Linked DNA regions of Sus scrofa. Each later gene encodes a partner of the first gene's protein in a complex. Links are inferred from orthologs where the notes say so. Each region holds a gene or a part of one and is shown on either strand. Other genes may lie near its edges.

The links.
Region 2: ARID1B (region 1) and SMARCC2 share a complex: the UniProt entries of both Homo sapiens proteins name them as parts of the neuron-specific chromatin remodeling complex. The link is inferred for Sus scrofa from reciprocal best matches to the Homo sapiens genes ARID1B and SMARCC2.

What each region holds. Positions count from the first base shown.
Region 1 is NC_010443.5:10,223,377-10,229,553, reverse strand, and holds the start of ARID1B (AT-rich interactive domain-containing protein 1B), read left to right. Parts: upstream 1-2,173; 5' UTR 2,174-2,198; coding exon 2,199-3,818; intron 3,819-6,177. UniProt on the Homo sapiens protein: Involved in transcriptional activation and repression of select genes by chromatin remodeling (alteration of DNA-nucleosome topology).
Region 2 is NC_010447.5:21,565,248-21,570,546, reverse strand, and holds part of SMARCC2 (SWI/SNF complex subunit SMARCC2), read left to right. Parts: intron 1-215; coding exon 216-377; intron 378-642; coding exon 643-707; intron 708-932; coding exon 933-1,068; intron 1,069-1,145; coding exon 1,146-1,309; intron 1,310-2,672; coding exon 2,673-2,807; intron 2,808-4,031; coding exon 4,032-4,413; intron 4,414-4,754; coding exon 4,755-5,177; intron 5,178-5,299. UniProt on the Homo sapiens protein: Involved in transcriptional activation and repression of select genes by chromatin remodeling (alteration of DNA-nucleosome topology).

The DNA of each region.
Region 1 (6,177 bases):
CATATGAAAACTTTAAAAATTCAACTTATGTGGTGTAATTGTATAATTGGTATGTATATGAAAATATAAAGGGAGAAAATCTGGGAGAAAATGTCAAAGAGGCACACTAACAAAGATGTAGTATTCTCTTGGCAAAAATTGATGAATTATTTGGCATGAATTCACCTTACAGTTCTGTTATTCTCTCTTATACATGATGCTATAACTCCTGTTTTCCAGTTGTTTGCAGAGAATTGCAATTTGTTGTTTTACACTCTATAATGACCCTTGGGTGTGCACCTGAGTCCCCTCCCCCCAATTAGTCACCAGTTTTTCACATCTATCCTTTTCTATTTAGTCATGTAACATATTAATACTTCCTCAAGCAAACAAAAATAACCCCTGTGGTTGAAATAAACTAAAATAGTCTTTATGGAAAGCTTAAGAATGAGGTGATTTTGGAAAACTACATTCTACCAAAATCATATATGTTATTTCAGCTAGCATGACCTCTTGAAAGCTCTGCTTTCAAATGCTTTCTCTCCATGAAAACTGAGTCCACACTAATACAACTGAGCCATTGTTTAGGTTAAGAAGTCCTGCTTTTGAAGATATTCAGGATGTTACTAGGTGAGAAATTCACAATAAAAAAATTTAAAACATCATAAAGTGATAAAACAATAGCTAATATTAAAAGAACAAAGCATGAACCCTTTTAGCTCTAGGATTAGATTTGATGGATTTATATCATCATTGATTTTATGTTTATTAAATAACATGTTACTTTTTTTTAGTTTTGTCTCACATTGCTTAGAAATGAACTCATATCAAGAGGGTTAATTGTGCACATAACCTCTGAAATACGATGCAGGTATGATGTCATACAGATTTATGAAGACATGAGATAAACCTTTGCAGTCGCTATTATGGCACCAGGAGTTAAATTTCCACGTGCAAGTTGCTGGGAGCATAACGCACCACGCTACGTATTTGAAGACTTTCTCTTCAGAGCGAGGACAGACAAGTGCATGGGAAGGAAAAATGCTCCTTTGGGATTACTTTATGTTTTCATTGATAAGCCTACGTACACATATAAGATGCCTTAAAAAAAGTTATATCAACGTTATTTTTGGGGCAGGTGCAATCAACCTAAGCATTTATTGAGTACCTGCTGTGTACAGGGCACAGCGCTTCTGGAATGCGGCTAACCTTCACTTAAACTCTTTCCTAATTATGCAGTTTAAAGAAGTTGTGGGAATTACATTGACGGCCCGAAATCAAGGCAGAGAGGCTAACATGCTGAAAAATTACATAACTCTTGGGAGAGGCAGTGCTTTTGCACAGATTGCCCAAATATCTTCTTTCTCCGTCGGCTCCTCGTAACCTTTGAGGCCAACAGACAACTTTGTTCCCCAGCCCTTCTCCCTCTTTTGTCTGCTCGTCAGACTCGTTTTCCACCTTTGAATCGTTCCTTTTAGACGTGAAAACAAACACGCGAACGCCCGGTTGGCAAGGAGACGGAGGCACGAGGGGAAAGTGCAGCCTCCCGTCGCCCCACGCCGCCGCGCGCCCGGCGCCGGCCGAGCGGCCCGAGCCCCCGGCCCGGGGCCGCCGGTGCCCGCGAGGCTGCGCCCGGGCGGGCAGGCGGGCGGAGGGCGCCGCGGGCGGCGGCGGCCCGGGCCGAGTCCAGTCCGCGTTTTGCGAGTGCGCACGAGTAATCAGAGAGAAGTGGATAATAGTTGCTCGGGCTCGCTCGGCTCCCTCTCATGCCATGCTGGGCCCGATAGGCTCAGTGAGTCGTGTATTTACCCATATCCGGGTTAGAGAGGAAAAGAGAAAAGTTTCATTTAAACCTGAACTAAAAACTTTCACCATGAAATCACACAGCGGGAACAGGCCCAGACCGTAAGGCGTGACTCCCGGTTCGGCTCCGGCGGGGCCTGTGGAGGGGGAGGGGGCTCGCTCGATTCCCGTCGGGGCGTGTGGATGCGCACAGGAGGGGCCGCAGACTAAAAAGTGGGTTTTATTGTCTCCCCCCGCCCCCCGCCCGGCCTCGCCACGCCGCGGCGATCATGGCCGCGCGGGCAGCAGCGGCGGCGCGGGCGCGGGCGGGCAGCGGCGAGCGGCGGGCGCCCCCCGGGCCGCGGCCGGCGCTCGGGGCCCGGGACCTGGAGGCGGGGGCGCGCGGCGCGGCGGCGGCGGCGGCGGCACCGGGACCCATGCTGGGGGGCGGCGGCGACGGCGGCGGCCTGAATAATGTGCACCACCACCCCCTGCACCCCCGTCACGAACTGAACATGGCCCATAACGCGAGCGCGGCGGCCGCCGCCGCCAGCACTAACAGCGCCAAGAGCGGCGGCTCCGAGGCGGCTCTGAAGGAGGGTGGAAGCGCCGCCGCGCTGTCCTCCTCCTCCTCCGCGGCGGCGTCCTCCTCTTCCTCCTCGTTGGGCCCGGGCTCGGCCATGGAGACGGGGCTGCTCCCCAACCACAAACTGAAAACCGTTGGCGAAGCCCCCGCCGCACCGCCCCACCAGCAGCACCACCACCACCACCATGCCCACCACCACCACCACCATGCCCACCACCTCCACCACCACCACCACGCACTACAGCAGCAGCTAAACCAGTTCCAGCAGCAGCAGCAGCAACAGCAGCAGCAGCAGCAACATCCCATTTCCAACAACAACAGCCTCAGCGGCGCGGGCGGCGGCACGGCTCAGCCCGGTCCCGACATGGAGCAGCCGCAACATGGAGGCGCCAAGGACAGTGCCGCGGGCAGCCAGGCCGACCCCCCGGGCCAGCCTCTGCTGAGCAAGCCGGGCGACGAGGACGACGCGCCGCCCAAGATGGGGGAGCCGGCAGGCGGCCGCTACGAGCAGCCGGGCCTGGGCGCCCTGGGCGCGCAGCCGCCGCCGGTCGCTGTGCCCGGGGGCGGCAGCAGTGGCGGCGGCCCGGCGGCCGTCTCGGAGTTTAATAATTACTATGGCAGCGCTGCCCCTGCTAGCGGCGGCCCCGGCGGCCGCGCTGGGCCTTGCTTTGATCAACATGGCGGACAACAAAGCCCCGGGATGGGGATGATGCACTCCGCCTCAGCCACCGCCGGAGCCCCCAACAGCATGGACCCCCTGCAGAACTCCCACGAAGGGTACCCCAACAGCCAGTACAACCATTATCCGGGCTACAGCCGGCCCAGCGCGGGCGGCGGCGGCGGCGGCGGCGGTGGCGGAGGAGGAGGAGGAGGAGGAGGAGGAGGAGGAGGAGGAGGCAGCGGAGGAGGAGGAGGAGGAGGAGGAGCAGGAGCGGGAGCTGTGGCGGCGGCGGCCGCGGCGGCGGCAGCAGCAGCAGGAGGCGGCGGCGGCGGCTATGGGGGCTCGTCCTCGGGGTACGGGGTGCTGAGCTCCCCCCGGCAGCAGGGCGGCGGCATGATGATGGGCCCCGGGGGCGGCGGGGCCGCGAGCCTCAGCAAGGCGGCCGCCGGCGCGGCGGCGGGGGGCTTCCAGCGCTTCGCCGGGCAGAACCAGCACCCGTCGGGGGCCACCCCGACCCTCAACCAGCTGCTCACCTCGCCCAGCCCCATGATGAGGAGCTACGGCGGCAGCTACCCCGACTACAGCAGCCCCAGCGCGCCGCCGCCGCCGCCGCCGCCGTCGCAGCCCCAGTCCCAGGCGGCGGCGGCGGGGGCGGCGGCGGGCGGCCAGCAGGCGGCCGCGGGCATGGGCTTGGGCAAGGACATGGGCGCCCAGTACGCCGCTGCCAGCCCGGCCTGGGCGGCCGCGCAACAAAGGAGCCACCCGGCGATGAGCCCCGGCACCCCCGGCCCGACCATGGGCAGATCCCAGGTAACCCCCGCGCCGGTCGGGCCTGCTTCCGCCGCGGCGGCCTCGCGGCGCGCCGCGAGCCCTAGTTTCTTTCTTTCCGCGTACTTTTTCTGCGTCTTCTGTCGGGGGAGGCGGGGGCGAGACGCCCAAAGCCATTTTAACTCGCGGCTGCCTCCTTCCGAGGCCGGGCAGCGCGCGGGGTCCGACTGCGCGGCGCGGGGCCCGGGGCCTGGGGAGGGGGTCTGGCCGAGGCCCGGGACGGGCGCCGCGGTTGCCGGTCGCGCAGCACCCGCCCGGCCACCCCACCCCAGGCGCCGAGCCGCGCGTGCGGGAGTCGGGGACCGCGCCGCCGGGAAGCCGTGTGGGCGCCGGGGACCGTTCGGGCAGCTTTTTCAACAAAATAGGCGCTCCCGGCCGGTACGGTCGGGGAAGGAAGATTGACCCCCTCTTCTCGGTTAGCGCCAACAATGAGCTAGAACTGGGAAAAGAATGAGGAACTTTGTCCTACCTCCGGCCACACTACGTTCCCTCTTAGCTTATTAGGTGAAGGCAGGAAAAATAGGTTAGCTTTGTGGCAGCCGAGTGTGTTTCGTAGTTGTGCCCAGCCATTCGGAGATATCGGATGCGGGCTTTGAGTTTGTGTAGTAGCAAAAATAATACCCACGTTTACAGCGATGTGGAGGTAAAATATCCTAAAATAAATCGATTCATTCCTAAGAATAGCCGGGAAGTCCATTTTTTGGCTTGCAGGCTGCTCGAAAGGAGTCACCTTCAACAGATAGACTGTGTTGAAGGAACACATTCCGGCTAGATTGAACTTATTTTGATCGTGGATTCGGCATACATTTTATCCAGCGAATCCAGGGAAATAGCGGACCAGTGAAAATTGATCTTTTTGGATAGGATTTATTTGGATTTTAAATTTCCTGACACCCAAGAGCTGCAGCGTTGTTAGGAGGTGTCCTGCACTCTTGCTGTTTCTTGCTCGTAGGCTGAGCCTGAAGACTGACTTGATCTCCTTTGCAAGGTTTGGAATTTGAATTGTGGAGGTAAACTGGCTGTAATAGTCTCCAGACAGCTGCCTCTGAGTTGACATCTAATCTGCCATCTGATTGGCTCCCCTCTCACCATTGGGCATTTAGCACTGCTGATGTAAATAGAAGTGCTGAGCAGTACAGTCACAAAAATTCTTGCCACAAATAATAACTGAGCTCTATTACAAGCAGATGTAAGGTTGAATATTATTTAAAGCTTAAATTATTATGAATCGTAGTTATTAATAAGAGGATTAAATACATAACAACATTATGCTGGTGTCCAGTCCTGGGCAGTTCCAAAATTCAGCTCTTTGACCATCTTAGCCTAGACATTACATATGTCATGCACTTTAATTGTGGGGGGGAGAATAGGGCAATTGAAAAATAATTAAACCAAGAATTTTACCAGTTTTTGGATTTGCAAGGCTTTTGTAGAAGTACCCTTTATGGATTAAACCATGAAAACATTTTGAATTATGTCATCATATGTAGTTTAGTGTAAAATTAAAACTTATAACATTATAGTTTTCAAAATTCGGATATCCAACAGTATCTTTTACTATTAATCAGCTTGGTAACAAGATTAAAGGTGTATTTCTAGTATATGTCTGTGTTTTAACAGTTCTGATGTTTTTAAGATGATTGTGGCTGAGGAGTTTTAGTTAGGGTTGACATTATATTAAAGGAAACATGAAGCAATGAAAATAATAATTTTTGCAGACAACAATTAGTTAAAAGGGAAGGAAATGGGTGTTCTTGTGAAATTTTAAAAATCGTTTTATATTTGTTTCTAATTTGGAGAATACAAAAGTGTCCCAGAAGTCTTTTTTTTCTTTTTTTTCCTTCTGTTGAGTATTTTGTTAGATTAGGTAATGTGAGTCTCATTTGAACTTCTTACACAATGTTTTAGGGAAAGTACATTACATACAAGTTTGCCGGGTATGTTTCTTCCAAATAATTTTTCTTTCATAGCCATTAGATTTTTTTTTTTTAACTTTCATAACATTCAAATCTGTTAGGGTTCACAGTGGTTATAATATATATTTTACTCAGCTCATTTATTTTAGGAAGGTGTATTTTAATAATCGTTTCTTAAAGGAGAGACTTGTCAAGAGTGAATGCAGTAATGCATGTAACATATAATCATGTGAATCCCAGGCTAAGGATGTTGGTGTCTACTCCCTTCTAATCTTTAGTTAGGGGAGTTTTACTTTTAAGAATAATATATTTTCCTATTCTTCATAGAAAACTTGGGATTTCTGTGTTTACTTTTGATGAATACAAGTAAAAAAATAGAAAAATCTTGTGTAAATAAATCCATGTAAATCATTTTAAAAAGATGT
Region 2 (5,299 bases), on another chromosome or scaffold:
GTTTGCGTTTGAAGGGCTGGGTACGCAGGTCATAAAACTCTCTCCCTCAAGTTTGGCTGCCTTCCTGGCCTTGTCTGCTGCTGGCCTCAGTCCTGGCGCCCGTCCAGCTCCCTGCAGGTTTAGGTGATGTGCCGGGCTTGTGAAGAAGCTCTCACTGGGAGAGCCAGAACTGCCCACCTGCCCGCTCCCAGCCTCATCCTCTCTGGGTCTTGCAGAAGAGTTCTCCAAAATGAAGGAAGAGGTACCCACGGCCTTGGTGGAGGCCCACGTTCGGAAAGTAGAAGAAGCAGCCAAAGTGACAGGCAAGGCCGACCCAGCCTTTGGCTTGGAAAGCAGCGGCATTGCAGGAACCACCTCGGATGAGCCAGAGCGGATAGGTGAGGCCTGGCCAGGTCCCAGACTCCATTTTTGCCAGGAGACAGAGCCACCTGCCTCCCCACACCATCCCTGCCATCCTCGGGCCTCGGAGCACAAGATGCATGGGGAGGATTGGTGGGGGTTTATTTTCCCCAGCGATTTCCCTTAGGCACCGTGGCTCCCCCCGGTCCTGTCATTAAGGTCTTGGCTAGGAGAAGGGGCTGTTGGAAGAGCATGGTAGACAGACTGTCAGACATTTCCCATTTCCTCTTCCCCTGGGCCCAGAGGAGAGCGGGACTGACGAGGCACGGGCAGAGGGCCAGGCCACAGAGGAGAAGAAGGAGCCCAAGGTATAGCGGGACTGACGGGGCCGGGAGGGTGGAGGGGGCCAGGTAGGAGCTGTGGTCAGGGTGCCGGCTCCATCCAGCTCTGGCAGGGCCGGGTTTGGATGGGGCTGCATCCTGAAGCCAGGTCGCCTTCCTTGTGAGGGGCATAAGCTCAGGTCCTGGTCTGGGCCCTCCGTATGCAAACCAGTCTCCCTAATAGTCTCCCCTTTCCTTTCCCTGGGGCTCCAGGAACCCCGAGAAGGAGTTGGGGCTGTGGAGGAAGAAGCAAAGGAGAAGACCAGCGAGGTGCCCAAGAAGGATGACGAGAAAGGGAAAGAAGGTGACAGCGAGAAGGAGTCAGAGAAGAGTGATGGGGACCCGATTGGTGAGCCTCCAGCGTGGTGGTTGGGGTCCAGGAATGGAGCGAGGCTGTAGGACTGACCCCCCCTTTTCCTGGCCCAGTTGATCCTGAGAAGGAGAAGGAGCCCAAGGAAGGACAGGAGGAAGTGCTGAAGGAGGTGGAATCGGAGGGGGAAAGGAAGACAAAGGTGGAGCGGGACATCGGCGAGGGCAACCTCTCCACCGCTGCTGCTGCCGCCCTGGCCGCTGCCGCCGTGAAGGCCAAGGTGAGGCCCTGGGACCAAGGAAGGAGATGCCCCTTTTCTGATCTCACATCACCTGCAAGAAATCCCTCCTTGTCATCCTTTAAACAGTGCTGACCTGTTTTCTTTGCCTTTTGGTCGAGGGAGGGAGACTCGGTCATCTCTTCTCTAAGCTTTTTTTTTTTTTTTTTTTTTTTTTTTTTTATTTTCCCACTGTACAGCAAGGGGGTCAGGTTATCCTTACATGTATACATTACAATTACATTTTTCCCCCACCCTTTCTTCTGTTGCAATATGAGTATCTAGACAAAGTTCTCAATGCTATTCAGCAGGATCTCCTTGTAAATCTATTCTAAGTTGTGTCTGATAAGCCCAAGCTCCAGATCCTTCCCACTCCCTCCCCCTCCCATCAGGCAGCCACAAGTCTCTTTTCCAAGTCCATGATTTTCTTTTCTGAGGAGATGTTCATTTGTGCTGGATATTAGATTCCAGTTATAAGTGATATCATATGGTATTTGTCTTTGTCTTTCTGACTCATTTCACTCAGTATGAGATTCTCTAGCTCCATCCATGTTGCTGCAAATGGCATTATGTCATTCTTTTTTATGGCTGAGTAGTATTCCATTGTGTATATATACCACATCTTCCGAATCCAATCATCTGTCGATGGACATTTGGGTTGTTTCCATGTCTTGGCTATTGTGAATAGTGCTGCAATGAACATGCGGGTGCACGTGTCTCTTTTAAGTAGAGTTTTGTCCGGATAGATGCCCAAGAGTGGGATTGTGGGGTCATATGGAAGTTCTATGTATAGATTTCTAAGGTATCTCCAAACTGTTCTCCATAGTGGCTGTACCAGTTTACATTCCCACCAACAGTGCAGGAGGGTTCCCTTCTCTCCACAACCCCTCCAGCACTTGTTATTTGTGGATTTATTAATGATGGCCATTCTGACTGGTGTGAGGTGATATCTCATGGTAGTTTTGATTTGCATTTCTCTTATAACCAGCGATGTTGAGCATTTTTTCATGTGTTTGTTGGCCATCTGTATCTAAGCTTTTTTTTTAATCGCCACACCCAGCGTGTGGAAGTCCACAGGCCAGGGATTGAACCTGCACCACAGTTGCAGCCGGTGCCAGAGCTGCAGCAACACTGGGTCCTTAACCTGCTGTGCCCCATGGGCACTTCCTTCTCTAAGCTTTTTTAAGCCTCTGCTATTGGGCCTGTCCCTACCCTCTACTTATCAGTCAAGCCCACGTTACTCTCTGCGCTGTGACCACAGCAAGTTCTTTCTTAAAACCTGCCCGCTTCCGCACGACCCTTCTCTGCCTGGAGCGTCTTCAGCTGGGTCCTCCTGCTGACCGCTGGCCCACCCCTCCTTTCTTAGCACTTGGCTGCCGTTGAGGAGAGGAAGATCAAATCCCTGGTGGCCCTGCTGGTGGAAACCCAGATGAAGAAGTTGGAGATCAAACTCCGGCACTTTGAGGAGCTAGAGACGATCATGGACCGGGAGCGAGAAGCGGTGAGTTGTGTCCCCAGCGGAGTCCGAGGAGCCCAGGGTCCCACCTTGATGCTGAGCTGGCCCTCTGTTTAGGATGGAGGGAGCAGCAGTGCAGAGAGCCTGAGGCTGACAGGGCTTCACAGCAGAGCAGAGTAGCCCAGGTGGTTAAGGACAGGTGACCCACAGGTACAGCCTGGAGCCCAAGTCCCCAGTGTCAGCTCTGGGGCCAGGTTCTAGTCGGTTCTTTGATTGCTGTGTCTCCAGGTTTTTGAACGGTGCTTGGCCAATAGTAGACGGTCCGTAAAGATTTGTTGAGTGAACAGGTTTAAGGCATCATGAGAGGGTAAGGGCTCCAGATCCAGGAGGTGAACTTGGAAAGGAAATGGGAAGGATAAAGTGTTGATTTTGAGAAAATATAAAAGAAATAGAAGACAGTGTCTCTGACACTGATCTCCTTAGTTAGAGGCATCAAGTGTACAATATGGAGACATTGAAAACAATTAATGCTCAACATAGCTCACAGATGCAAGTTAAGAGATTTCTGATCAAGTATAAAAATCCTGAGAGGAGTTCCCATTGTGGCTCAGTGGAAACAAGCTGACTAGTAACCATGAGGATGCAGGTTCAATCCCTGGTCTCACTCAGTGGGTTAAGGATCCGGCGTTGCCATGAGCTGTGGTGTAGGTCACAGATGTGGCTCGGATCTGGTGTTGCTGTGGCTGTGGTGTAGGCCGATACCTGCAGCTCTGATTCGACCCCTAGCCTGGGAACCTCCATATGCTGTGGATGCAGCTCTAAAAAGCACACACACACACAAATCCTGAGACAGAACAGAATAAAAGCCAAGAGGGCAGAGGCTATTGAGCTGATCTGGGAAGGCTTCCTAAGGATGATGAGCCTTCCTCCAGTTTTGAAGGAAGGAAAGAACATGAATTGACAAGAGGAACTAGTAGAAGCATTTTCCAAATTAAAGTAATGACAGATTCAAAGCTTTGGAGCTGAAAAGAACAAGAGTTACCACCAAACTAACCCCACTGCAGTGAGGTGGGCAGCCAGGGACCTGGCGGGGAGATTTGAGGGGGTAGGCTGGGGGAGGACAGAGGAAGCCAAACACAAGACTGAGATTTGGTGTGGGCACCTGTCGGAATGGGCATGCAGGTTTGTCCGAAGACAAAGCAGGGGGCAAGGGGTTTGCCTTTGGGATCGTGTAAACCTGCGTAACAATACTCATGTGGCCCCCGGCAGCTCGAGTATCAGAGGCAGCAGCTCCTGGCCGACAGACAAGCCTTCCACATGGAGCAGCTAAAGTATGCAGAGATGCGGGCCCGGCAGCAGCACTTCCAGCAAATGCACCAACAGCAGCAGCAGCCACCACCGGCCCTGCCCCCAGGCTCCCAGCCTATCCCACCTACAGGCGCTGCAGGGCCACCGACTGTCCATGGCTTGGCTATGGCTCCGGCTTCTGTGGCCCCTGCTCCTGCCGGCAGCGGGGCCCCTCCCGGAAGCTTGGGCCCCTCTGAACAGATTGGGCCGGCAGGGTCAGCTGTGGGGCCACAGCAGCAACAACCAGCTGGAGCCCCCCAGCCTGGGGCAGTCCCACCAGGGGTACCCCCCCCTGGACCCCATGGTAAGTGATGGGTTGTAGGAACTCACTCCAACTTGGAGTGGTCTGGCTGAGTGTTCAGTTCCGTTCGAAGGGGTTGTGATAGGACTGGAGTCAAGGATCAGCCTCAGTTTCTACAGATCCATCTCACTTCTGTCCCTGAGTCAGCAGGGATCCTTCCCCAAACCAGATCCTTGGAATTTTATCCCAAGGATTTACTACTTATTCTAGTTTAAAAAACAAACAAACAAAAAAAAACAGGGAGGTGGTTCCTAGGAGTGGCTTGGTTATGCATGCTGGGGAAGTGAGTTTCCAAGTAAGATTATATGCCTCTAATATTCCCTATCTCTCCTCTTCATTCCCAGGCCCCTCACCGTTTCCCAACCAACAAACTCCTCCCTCAATGATGCCAGGGGCAGTGCCAGGCAGCGGGCACCCAGGCGTGGCGGGTAATGCTCCTTTGGGTTTGCCTTTTGGCATGCCGCCTCCCCCCCCTGCTCCATCCATCATCCCGTTTGGTAGCCTAGCCGACTCCATCAGTATTAACCTCCCCCCTCCTCCTAACCTGCATGGGCATCACCACCATCTCCCGTTCGCCCCGGCCACTCTCCCCCCACCTAACCTGCCTGTGTCCATGGCGAACCCTCTACATCCTAACCTGCCGGCGACCACCACCATGCCATCTTCCTTGCCTCTCGGGCCGGGGCTCGGATCCGCCGCAGCCCAGAGCCCTGCCATTGTGGCAGCTGTTCAGGGCAACCTCCTGCCCAGTGCCAGCCCACTGCCAGGTGAGAAGGGTCCTGGAGGGGAGAGGGGAAGGGGGAGGGGCCCACCCGAGGGCTGGAGGGCAGGTGGGGCGGGGCTCAGGTACTGGAGCTGCTGTGATCCTTTTTGAACGCTCTGGTCAAAT